3 linked regions of the Nothobranchius furzeri genome follow. The protein of the gene in region 1 purifies or fractionates together with the protein of each later gene. This does not show direct contact. Links are inferred from orthologs where the notes say so. Each region holds a gene or a part of one and is shown on either strand. Other genes may lie near its edges.

Evidence for each region.
Region 2: the proteins of timmdc1 (region 1) and ecsit purify together in Homo sapiens (affinity purification with mass spectrometry; 3 studies listed by BioGRID and IntAct, counting the BioPlex papers as one, with this or other methods). This does not show direct contact. The link is inferred for Nothobranchius furzeri from reciprocal best matches to the Homo sapiens genes TIMMDC1 and ECSIT.
Region 3: the proteins of timmdc1 (region 1) and ndufa13 purify together in Homo sapiens (co-immunoprecipitation; 3 studies listed by BioGRID and IntAct, with this or other methods). This does not show direct contact. The link is inferred for Nothobranchius furzeri from reciprocal best matches to the Homo sapiens genes TIMMDC1 and NDUFA13.

The regions. Positions count from the first base shown.
Region 1 is NC_091754.1:55,555,290-55,559,310, forward strand, and holds the start of timmdc1 (complex I assembly factor TIMMDC1, mitochondrial), read right to left. Parts: upstream 2,801-4,021; 5' UTR 2,660-2,800; intron 1-2,659. Other genes in the region: poglut1 (protein O-glucosyltransferase 1), read right to left, coding at 3,964-4,021.
Region 2 is NC_091743.1:88,487,589-88,491,710, reverse strand, and holds the start of ecsit (evolutionarily conserved signaling intermediate in Toll pathway, mitochondrial), read right to left. Parts: upstream 2,801-4,122; 5' UTR 2,685-2,800; intron 2,539-2,684; 5' UTR 2,513-2,538; coding exon 2,423-2,512; intron 1-2,422.
Region 3 is NC_091751.1:56,690,203-56,693,709, reverse strand, and holds ndufa13 (NADH dehydrogenase [ubiquinone] 1 alpha subcomplex subunit 13), read right to left. Parts: upstream 2,231-3,507; 5' UTR 2,021-2,230; coding exon 1,927-2,020; intron 1,354-1,926; coding exon 1,275-1,353; intron 1,188-1,274; coding exon 1,116-1,187; intron 1,025-1,115; coding exon 955-1,024; intron 724-954; coding exon 604-723; 3' UTR 501-603; downstream 1-500. UniProt on the Homo sapiens protein: Accessory subunit of the mitochondrial membrane respiratory chain NADH dehydrogenase (Complex I), that is believed not to be involved in catalysis. Complex I functions in the transfer of electrons from NADH to the respiratory chain.

The DNA of each region.
Region 1 (4,021 bases):
AAACCTGAACAGTTCCAACCCGGTCTACTGTGAGACCGGGTTGACGCGTCACGCTTGTGCGTAATCATATGCGTGTTCTGAGCTGACGAGGATGTGAGATTCTGGGATTCTCCTCAGACGGCTCCTGGATGTGTCGCCACATTGGAGACAGGAACAAGCGCTATTCAGCCAAAGTTTCATAATCAGGGAACATTTTCTAAGTGACAAGTCTCGTTTCAGTCGGAGGAATCTTCCTGCATGCGCTCTGGTTCTGCAACGCGCTCCAAGCCCCTCTCCACATCTTCAGCTCGCTATGGACCTTATGTAGTACACGCTGACAGTGAGCTGCGCTGAGCAGTGTCCAGCTCAGATGTTCAGATGGGAATCTTTTCTTGAGTGATTTAGCGACATCTGCGATGTGTGTAGAATAAAATGTCAGTTCGTCTGCATGCGTCGGGGTAATTCTTTCTATTCTTTCTCCGTCAAAATAAACGGTCAAATACGGGAACTGTCCGGTCAACACAAGCCCTGCTTTAACTGTTCTGTTTTCTTGTGAAAATTGTTGCAAAGAGATAAAATTAAACTTGATTAACACCAGAGCCAGGCGCACTGCGCCGTTATCTCCGTCGCTGTAAATGAGGGAAAAACAAAATGATCGGATCCTTTTCTGACCTTCCCCACCTACAAAGTTTAATTACAACAATGAAACGTGACAGAGCCTGGATTTGTATTCTGAACAGTCTAAACATGTTTTAAAAAGAAACGTATGACAAAAGTGGCACCTGCTCAGTAAAACCACCAACAGGGTGAAAAATATCTAAATATTGTAGGCAGAGACGGGCTACAACTTCTGGATCCACTTTATATAAATCGTTTTATTGATTATCGTCTTATGTAAGAGAACTTTGACGTACACGAGCGACCGGCACCGACTGCTGTCACCTGTTGTGAGCAGCTCTCTGCTGTCTGAGGGTAGGCCCCGCCCACAACGCCGTGGCTCCCAGTGTTTTCTTTACTGTGGGAAACGGGTAATAATGGCTCTTTGATGGGAACAGGTTGCCGACCCCTGGTCTATGTCTATGCAGGACAATAAAGTTTGGAGGTTTTACAATTATTTCTGGGGGCAGAGTTGCAATGACATGCGCACTGCGTTGCTCTAGCTCCAATTTAAAACAGAAAAGGTGGACAAGGATACAGGGCCAATATTACCAGTAATCAAAGATGTACCCGTTACATTTAAATCAGATGGCTGGGCTAATTTCAGTTTTGGGATCCTGGATGTGAAAGAATCACTTAATACAGTATTTGTTTACTATTTTTAAGTTCAGTAATATTCTATCTTAAAGCTGCTCTACCGAAAACATTATTTCTTATATTATTTAAGTAATTATAGGCAGCACACTTTAAACATTATTGCTCACTATAGTGAATAGATGAATGTTATGTTTTTCAGGGATTTCGAAATCAAAAAGAAACTGAAAACTATTCTACTGCTTTTATTAAGTAAAGAAAATTTTTGCATGAAGAATCGTGATGCATTTCAGACTCAGATCAAATCTTTAGGCAGATAATCGGAATCGGATCGAATCGTGAGGCAGGTAGAGATGCACACCACTAGTGCTCACTCCCAAGGCCCTAAGTGTGTGTTTGCGTGGAACGTCGTTGGTGGAAGTGTATAAGGTGCAAATAAAATTGGGGGGCAGGTTGCCACAGGAATGCGGAAATGGGGTCCATACCCACACTCCCTGACTTGACCACCCCCCAAGGTCCTATGTGCATGTTTGTGTGATGATGTGAGGGAGCAGGAGGAGAGAAATGTGTGGGGATGGGGAGGAACGGCTGGTTGGGCTTAGCCCTCCAGGAAGCCAGCTCCCCCACTGGCCCCAATAGGCACCTCTGCTGCCAAAATGCCACCCAGGGCATGGAGACACCAGCCCATCCTGCCAGGGCCCAAAGCAGCAGCATCACAGAGCCTCACGGAGTCCGAGGGCACCAACCCAGCAGAATATCTACGCCCATCCATGCATTTGCACAACTTCCGCATTATAAATGACATAGGACATCCAGGTAAGGTTGGGTCCTCCCCCTCCTGGACCCCCCCCCCACTGATGGGGCAGCAGAGGAGCCAAGGTCTACCTGAGGCCCCTGAACCCGAGTCAGACACTGCTGCATGTTCCTGCCTTCTCCCCGGCAGCATACATGACAGGTTTATTTGAACAAAAATAAGAAAACAAGTCTTGAAACAGCCGTTATTCAAGACACATTTCTTACATTTGTATCGCCTTTAAGGGAACCCTGTTTATTCTATAATACCTAAGGCTGGACTAAGTGAATGAAAACACTGCTATTAGCAGCATTTGTGCAGATGAAATTGGAATTATACACAAAAGGTTACAAAAAAAATCAAACCAAAAGGGCTGACGCACCTTAAAGTAGACTTAATAACCTTTAAAGTTGAACACCTGCCTCTAATGTCCAGGTTTTAGCAGGTTAACAGTAAAAACTGCAGCACTAAATATGTTTAAATGAGTATCTGTGTATTTTAAAATCACAAAATAGCTCTTTATTTGAATTTTTTTTAGTAACAAGTATGTTTATAGTAAGCTGTATGTTTATAGTAAGCTAAGCTTATCAGATGTTAGCAACAATTAGCATGTTAGCTAGGCTAACAGCTACTTACCAGCAACGAGCGTTCAGTTACTCGTCAACAGTGACGTGTCGGTCTAACTGAGTAAAGCGGTTCGGTTAAATATTATTTATAAATGACAAAACTTTTATCATCATGCATGCCCTTTACATGTCCATTCTGTCCAGGACCAACAGACTGCAGCGGCTAATGACATCTGACCGCATTGCGGCTGCGCGAACATTGGAGAGCTAGCGCCCCCGGTGGTCAGGAGGATAAATGGTTCTAAATTTTCCAAGTAAAAACGTTTGCTTGGGCCTTTTGAGTCCATTTCTGCCACTGTGATAGAAAAATAAACTATTTCTTGAATTGAAACTTTGAGGTACTTATTTAGTAGTATTATCACATAAACATGAATTAGGAATTTCTTTTTCATCAGTTGTGAAAATGTGTCCATACTTTTTAAATTTACTTGTGTAAAGCAACTTAATTGCAGAAATTTGTGTAATTTTTATTTATTGTAGAGCAGACTGTGTAAACAAGCGTAATAGTTAAAAAAATAATGTTGACTGCAATTTTACAATGTTTATTCTCCAAACACCATGGAAAACTACAGTATGTACAAAAACAAGCATAGATACAAAATCTGAGTAAAGGGTAAACAGTGAAATTGTAAATCCATATTAATTATAAAAACACATTGCAGAATTCGTGTTTAATGGTTTTACTGTAATAAGAAAACTTCAGATATCAAACTAAAACTTGATCGCAGCTTTATTTGTTCAAAATCAGGAACACAGATGTGGCTAATATTTGTAAAAAACTAGTGGGAACCTCGTGGTTGACAGGATAACGTGAATACTACAACATATTCAACTTAATCCTGCTTTTACCCTCAACTCCTTTATTTAATACAGTAAACTTAAGTGACACAAGTTTCTTTGAAACTAGAGTAAAAACAAACACATAGATCTAAAATTATTGCTCGTTATTAGCACTTTGTGTCAACATTTGAACATCCTAAAGTCTTATTCTGTAACAGACTAAACATTCAGCTGCAGTTGTACAGTAGGAGGCGGTGTGTGACATCTTTATTAGATTTCTGTGGTTTAATGGTCATAAAAACTGATTTATTCACATAAGCAACCAAATATAGTAAATAAATGACAATAAAACTCAATACTGTGATGTAGGAAGTTCCCATGATGCACCCTGACAGCCTCATTGGTCTAGTTCACCTTTCTTTGAGTATGTGGTAGCTCCCCCTAATGAAGAAACAGCAGCATCTGAAGTCTTTTCTCACCTAAAACTATCTCTATCTAGGTTTTGGCATCGGTGAGGACACGGTGCCGAGTCCCTCACAGCTCGGCTCTGTTGGGTTTCTGGATGATCTGCTTGTAGCTGCTCTTCCTGCTG
Region 2 (4,122 bases), on another chromosome or scaffold:
GGTTTAGACTGCTGGAGGACATACTGGGTTACCCTGGCTCATCCCTTTAGTTATGCTGTATGGGTTTAGACTGCTGGAGGACATACTGGGTAACCCTGGCTCATCCCTTTAGCTATGCTGTATGGGTTTAGGCTGCTGGAGGACATACTGAGTTACCCTGGCTCATCCCTTTAGTTATGCTGTATGGGTTTCGACTGCTGGAGGAAGTACTGGGTAACCCTGGCTCATCCCTTTAGTTATGCTGTATGGGTTTAGACTGCTGGAGGACATACTGAGTTACCCTGGCTCATCCCTTTAGTTATGCTGTATGGGTTTAGACTGCTGGAGGACATACTGAGTTACCCTGGCTCATCCCTTTAGTTATGCTGTATGGGTTTAGACTGCTGGAGGACATACTGGGTAACCCTGGCTCATCCCTTTAGCTATGCTGTATGGGTTTAGACTGCTGGAGGACATACTGAGTTACCCTGGCTCATCCCTTTAGTTATGCTGTATGGGTTTAGACTGCTGAAGGACATACTGAGTTACCCTGGCTCATCCCTTTAGTTATGCTGTATGGGTTTAGGCTGCTGGAGGACATACTGGGTAACCCTGGCTCATCCCTTTAGTTATGCTGTATGGGTTTAGACTGCTGGAGGACATACTGGGTAACCCTGGCTCATCCCTTTAGTTATGCTGTATGGGTTTAGACTGCTGGAGGACATACTGAGTTACCCTGGCTCATCCCTTTAGTTATGCTGTATGGGTTTAGGCTGCTGGAGGACATACTGGGTAACCCTGGCTCATCCCTTTAGTTATGCTGTATGGGTTTAGACTGCTGAAGGACATACTGAGTTACCCTGGCTCATCCCTTTAGTTATGCTGTATGGGTTTAGGCTGCTGGAGGACATACTGAGTTACCCTGGCTCATCCCTTTAGTTATGCTGTATGGGTTTAGACTGCTGGAGGACATACTGGGTAACCCTGGCTCATCCCTTTAGCTATGCTGTATGGGTTTAGACTGCTGGAGGACATACTGAGTTACCCTGGCTCATCCCTTTAGTTATGCTGTATGGGTTTAGGCTGCTGGAGGACATACTGAGTTACCCTGGCTCATCCCTTTAGTTATGCTGTATGGGTTTAGACTGCTGGAGGACATACTGGGTAACCCTGGCTCATCCCTTTAGTTATGCTGTATGGGTTTAGACTGCTGGAGGACATACTGGGTAACCCTGGCTCATCCCTTTAGTTATGCTGTATGGGTTTAGACTGCTGGAGGACATACTGGGTAACCCTGGCTCATCCCTTTAGTTATGCTGTATGGGTTTAGACTGCTGGAGGACATACTGGGTAACCCTGGCTCATCCCTTTAGTTATGCTGTATGGGTTTAGACTGCTGGAGGACATACTGAGTTACCCTGGCTCATCCCTTTAGTTATGCTGTATGGGTTTAGACTGCTGGAGGACATACTGAGTTACCCTGGCTCATCCCTTTAGTTATGCTGTATGGCTTTAGACTGCTGGAAATACTGGGTAACCCTGGCTCATCCCTTTAGCTATGCTGTATGGGTTTAGGCTGCTGGAGGACATACTGGGTAACCCTGGCTCATCCCTTTAGCTATGCTGTATGGGTTTAGGCTGCTGGAGGACATACTGGGTAACCCTGGCTCATCCCTTTAGTTATGCTGTATGGGTTTAGGCTGCTGGAGGACATACTGGGTAACCCTGGCTCATCCCTTTAGTTATGCTGTATGGGTTTAGGCTGCTGGAGGACATACTGGGTAACCCTGGCTCATCCCTTTAGTTATGCTGTATGGGTTTAGGCTGCTGGAGGACGTACTGAGTTACCCTGGCTCATCCCTTTAGTTATGCTGTATGGGTTTAGGCTGCTGGAGGATGTACTGGGTAACCCTGGCTCATCCCTTTAGTTATGCTGTATGGGTTTAGGCTGCTGGAGGATGTACTGGGTAACCCTGGCTCATCCCTTTAGCTATGCTGTATGGGTTTAGGCTGCTGGAGGACATACTGAGTTACCCTGGCTCATCCCTTTAGTTATGCTGTATGGGTTTAGATTGCTGGAGGATGTACTGGGTAACCCTGGCTCATCCCTTTAGTTATGCTGTATGGGTTTAGACTGCTGGAGGACATACTGGGTAACCCTGGCTCATCCCTTTAGTTATGCTGTATGGGTTTAGACTGCTGGAGGATGTACTGGGTAACCCTGGCTCATCCCTTTAGTTATGCTGTATGGGTTTAGGCTGCTGGAGGACATACTGGGTAACCCTGGCTCATCCCTTTAGTTATGCTGTATGGGTTTAGACTGCTGGAGGACAACATCTCACTCTGTTGACCTCGCATACTGAGGACACGCTAAAACCCGTAGGGGTTTGTTCCCGGGCCAGGTGTGCTCGTGTTTACGACACTGCCTGGTTAAAAAGCTCACCTGGTGCTGACGGTGGTTCTGGTTGGTCTGACCGGAGGCTGGTCTACCGGACCGGAGCAGCAGCGGCAGGAGGCTGCGGGAACACCTCATCGTTGCGCTTTCCGACTAGCTCACAGCTAACAGGACGAGACAACCAGGTGGGCACTTAGGTTTCAGGTAAAATGACATCATCGTTACATTTATGTATGCTGTAGCAGACAGCTAGTGTCGCGCGCTGCCTGAACCGGATGTTCCTCTAACAACAGCAGGCTGAAAAACTCACTGTGAATTCAGTCTCCTTCAAAACTCGTCTCTGTGCTCGCCTCCATGTTAGAAAGCCGCGAGAACGTCCTGTTTCTACACCGAAATACTTCCCCTTGAACAGCGGGAACATTTACCGAGATAATCGTTCCGCTTGGCTTTTTTTTTTTCTTCTGACTCATTTTCGTCTAAAACTCAAGTATTTAATATGAAAATAAAAATGTGCTGCGGAGGCTAATTCATAACAAAAACTATTAAAACTGTAATCATGAAAGGCTAAAATAAAGACTGGTTTTACAGCATCACAAAAGGAATACGTGTTTTTATCATTTAAAGGAGCGACTGTTAGGAATCAGAACAAGCACACCACACAGACTACAGATTATTCATGAAAAACTGACAAGACAACATCAGTGTAGGGGCGACGGTGGCACAGGAGTTAGGTGCTCACCCGTAACCGGAAGGTTGCAGGTTCAAGCCCCGCTCAGTTTGTTGCTGCTGTTGTGTCCTTGGGCAAGACACTCAACTCACCTGCTGCTGTTGCTGGTGGTGGTCGGAGGGACCGGTGGCGCCTGTGCTCAGCAGCCTCACCTCTGTCAGCGTGCCCCAGGGCAGCTGTAGCTCATCACCACCAGGGTGTGAATGTGTGTGTGTGAATGGGTGAATGACTGATTGTGTTGTAAAGCGCCTTGGGGGGTTCCATCACTGTAGAAGGTGCTATATCAAACACAGGCCGTTTATGATTTAAAGACTATGACCTCTGGTTTCCTCCCACCTACCAAAAACATGCATGTTAGGTCAGAGTTGTTGTTTGTCTGTGTCGTGTGTGTGTCCCTGTGACGGAACAGAGACTTCTAGAATGGAAGATCCATTAACTCAAAGACAACAGCAGTCACAGTCAGTTTTATTGTCAATTCTACCACATGTGCAAGACATACAGAGAAATGAAATTGAGTTTTAGTACACACAATTCAGAGATCAGACATACATGGGCAAGACACATGACAAGAATTAGTGACTGTGGTCATTCGCAACACGAGTCGTGCTACCTTAAAAGATGAAAAGGGAATTACATGAGGATAAATTGGGGGAGGGGAAAAAAGGCACACCAGAGTTACTCCCGGCAGGGCGTAGCTTTACTATGCAAAAAAAAAAAAAACGCCTCAAACATATAAGCACGAACATCACAGTTCACAACATGAGACTCCGATGGGGGGGGGGGGGGGGCTGGGATCCTGTTTCCCCAGGGCGAGCAGCCCTGTGTGGCGCTCAGCCAGCTGTATCCACAGGAGGGAGGGAGATCTTGGAGAAGCGCAGAGCACATTTGAGTTCCTGCAGGTTGATGACCTCACTAGAAGTCCACAATCTGAAGGGGGGGGGGGGGGACGGGTTTTCACAACATCTGTTTGCATTCCTTCCTTCATGGGGGTTGTTGTCAGCAGCTCAAGGCTGCCTTGGCG
Region 3 (3,507 bases), on another chromosome or scaffold:
TGGGTTTAAGGACTGGACTCTGTGGTGGTCAATCCACGTGTGAAAATGATGTCTCATGCTCCCTGAACCACTCAACCATTTGAGCCTGATGAATCCTGGCATTGTCATCTTGGAATATGCCCTTGCCATCAAAGAAGAAAACATTGATGGAATAACCTGGTCATTCGGTATATTCAGGTAGTCAGCGGACCTCATTCTTGGACCACATCCTGTTGCTGAACCTAGAGCTGACCAGCTGCAGCAACCCCAGATCATAGCACTGCCCCTACAGGCTTGTACAGTAGGCACTAGGCATGATGGGTGCATCATTTCATCTGGCTCTCTTCTACCATCATTCTGGAACAGGGTCCATCTGTACTCAGACCAGTTTTTAATAATGTGCCATCTAGAGTTATTTATATATACACATATGAACTTAAAAGGTTTCTATGCGCGAAGTTGGTTTAAATAATCTGGAGTCAGACATTAAATAAGCTAAATTGATGACAAATCAGAGATGGTACAGGAAAAAAAGTTGTTTTATTTTACATTTACAAGGTGACGTGAGCGAAGGCTAAAATTCACACAAAAGTTGAGGCTAGGGGCTTTTTTCCCCAGTTGTGATTACACGTACCACGCAAAGCCATATTTCTGGTGCAAAAGCTCTTCGCGTGGCCGGAGGTTGAAGAGCTCTTCTGTCAGAGGCGTGACCCAGCGGTCCGTGTGGAAGACGCTCTCGCCAACCTGCATTCATTTTAAAATTACAGTTTGAGTTAGATCACAGAACTAAATCAGTGGATTCCAATTAGACACAATAAAATGTTAATTTGCCCGACTTATTAAAACAATCTAAAATACATTTTATTGTATAAACAAAAAATAAGAGCTGTTTAATTAACCTGATAGTTTGTGGCTTTGTAAAACAAACTGCTGACAGGAACTCTTTATATTTATTGAGCATTTTAATAACTTTACCTTCCAGTCTGGAACATCTTTCATGAGGATCGCCTCCTCCTCTAAGTTTTCTCTCAGCATCCTCAAGGTACTAGAAGAATGAAAACCCAAAACGATGAAAGAACTGATTAGTTGCTCCTGATATTAATATGAAAAAACAGATAAATGAAGTTGTTTTTTACCTTCGGTCAAGCTCTGCCTGCATCAGAGGCATTAATGCTATTCTGGTCTCCAGTTCCTCCATTTCGAAGCGCCTGTGATACGAACCAAATATACCACTATCATCAGCTCAAATGTGACTACTATACAACCTGAAAGCTACATAATTGAGATTTTCTTACCGCCTCTCTCTGTTCCAATTGAACATTCGCCAGTAACCAACCAGCATGACACCGATGCCAATGCCAAACATGCTATAACCTGTTGATTTGTAAAATATATTAGTATAAAATTTTACATGCTCAAATAACTACTTCTTGTTGGTCTGATGTTACAGACGGAATATGGTCAACTTGTATTCATAGAGGAGGAAATGTTTTTATTAATACAACAATATTATTTATTATTGTACAACTGTGTATTGAATTTACAATAGCTTTGGTATTTTCCTATGGTTATTTCTAATGGTCACTTAAAAAGAACACTAGTTATTTTCACTTCTGGACCGAACACTAATGACTAGAGAACTAAACACTGGTTCGTGTTAGCCACCAGTTAGCTTTCGATGTCAGAAACGATTCATGGAGCGATTATGGTATTTTACAGACTTCCTTCTTGCTCGGATATTTGACAATTACCTCTTAATTAAGAGGTAAACATACCAATTCAAGCCTCAAGCCCCCGGGTAGTTTAATTCTGACTTGGAATAATCAGTTTCATGTTGACGCTGAGCAGCTAGCATTAGCCACACCGACAACAAACGTGAATGGTCAACATTTCACCTCCGCTGCGTGGGTCTGTGAAGGTAAATAGGTGAGGGAAATGCGCATTTACCCGAAAGTCCTCGTTTAGGTAGGTTTCTCTTATAGTCAAAGGGGGCATATCCTCCTGTAGGAGGCATGTCCTGCTTCACCTTGGAGCCCGACATCTTTATCCAGCCTCCTCCAACGAACCGAACGTCAGCCTGCTTGATCCACGGAGTCTTCTTCTGTTGGGACACGGACTCTGGTGCTCCACAGCTCCCCCATACGGCCGGAGCCCCTCCTTCTTCTTCTACTTGGTGTTTAGCAGCGGTTGGCAACCAGCTTAATGGAGCATTACCGCCTCCAACTGTTCCGGAGTATGGACCAGACAGTGAGCTCACAATCTAAAACCTACACCTTCACTCTCCATTCCCTCTCATTTAATCCTCCTTCCTTCTTTCCCCTTTTGCACCCTATTTCTTTCCCCTTCCTTATCAACAGCAAAAATAACTATTCCTATCTACACCCCATGAAAAACCCCTACACTCTTAAGAAACTCCACCAAATCCCTCATCTGCACCCTACAACTCGTCAACACGCTCTTCATTGTGAATTCCTCAATACCCCTCTCCCTCATCCTTTTCCGCAGAAATTCCCTTTCCACAAAATAACCCTTACACCACAGAATTACATGCTCTACCCTCTCTTCCTCCTCCTGTCACACTCCACACAACCCAGTCTCACGTTTACCTATCATTTTTAGAGTTTTGTCCAACGAGCAATGACCCAATCTGAGCCTGGTAACAACTACCTCTTCTCTCCTATTGCCCCTATTCACCCCATGCCCTAACACCTCCTTCTTAACATTATATAAATGCCTCTCCTTGCTCATATAATCCCACCTTTTCTGCCACTCCTTCACAATCCCCTCATTCCTCTCCCACAACCGAGTTTATCTCCCAACCTCCTCTGACCTATCAGCCCAGAGGACTCCGTCCTTCACCATCACCCTCCCCTCAGCATCCGAGGACTCCACCATTCACCATGGACAGGAGCCATAATGCAGATGCTGTTTTCAGAAAGGGTCAGAGCTGACTCTAGCTGCTGAGATCTCCTTTGGAATGCAGGGGAGTGCTCCTAAGGACCTTATTTAGTTTCATTCATACCAAATGTGGAACAGATGCGGTCCTGACTCTGTATGGCTTCCTTATAAATCAATCGGTGTGATCTAGGTGTTTGACTCAGTGGTGGCATCAGCCATCTTTTCTGGTGGGGTTAGTTGGGGGGAGCAGTTGGGAAGCCCTTATCTACTGCTGAGACACAGAGATTAGATAAGCTCATTAAGGTGGTCAGCTATGTCCTACTTGATCCAGTGCAGGTGAGAGATGGAAGGACTAGCAAAACTAACATCACTGAGACAATGTCTCCAACCCATACATGAAGCCATTGTGGAGCTGGAGAGTTTCTTAAGTGACTGCATGAGTACACGGACTGTTACTGAACGTCAAAATTTACAACCACCACTTCAAATTTTTGTCTGCCCCCCACACATTTTTGTTATTTGCAGTTATTTTTTGCACCCAGTCATATCTCATTTGCACATTTCTCTTTTCATGTTATCACTCCATGTAAAAATCTGCAAGTCTTTTAATATTTATTTTTAAAATGTAAA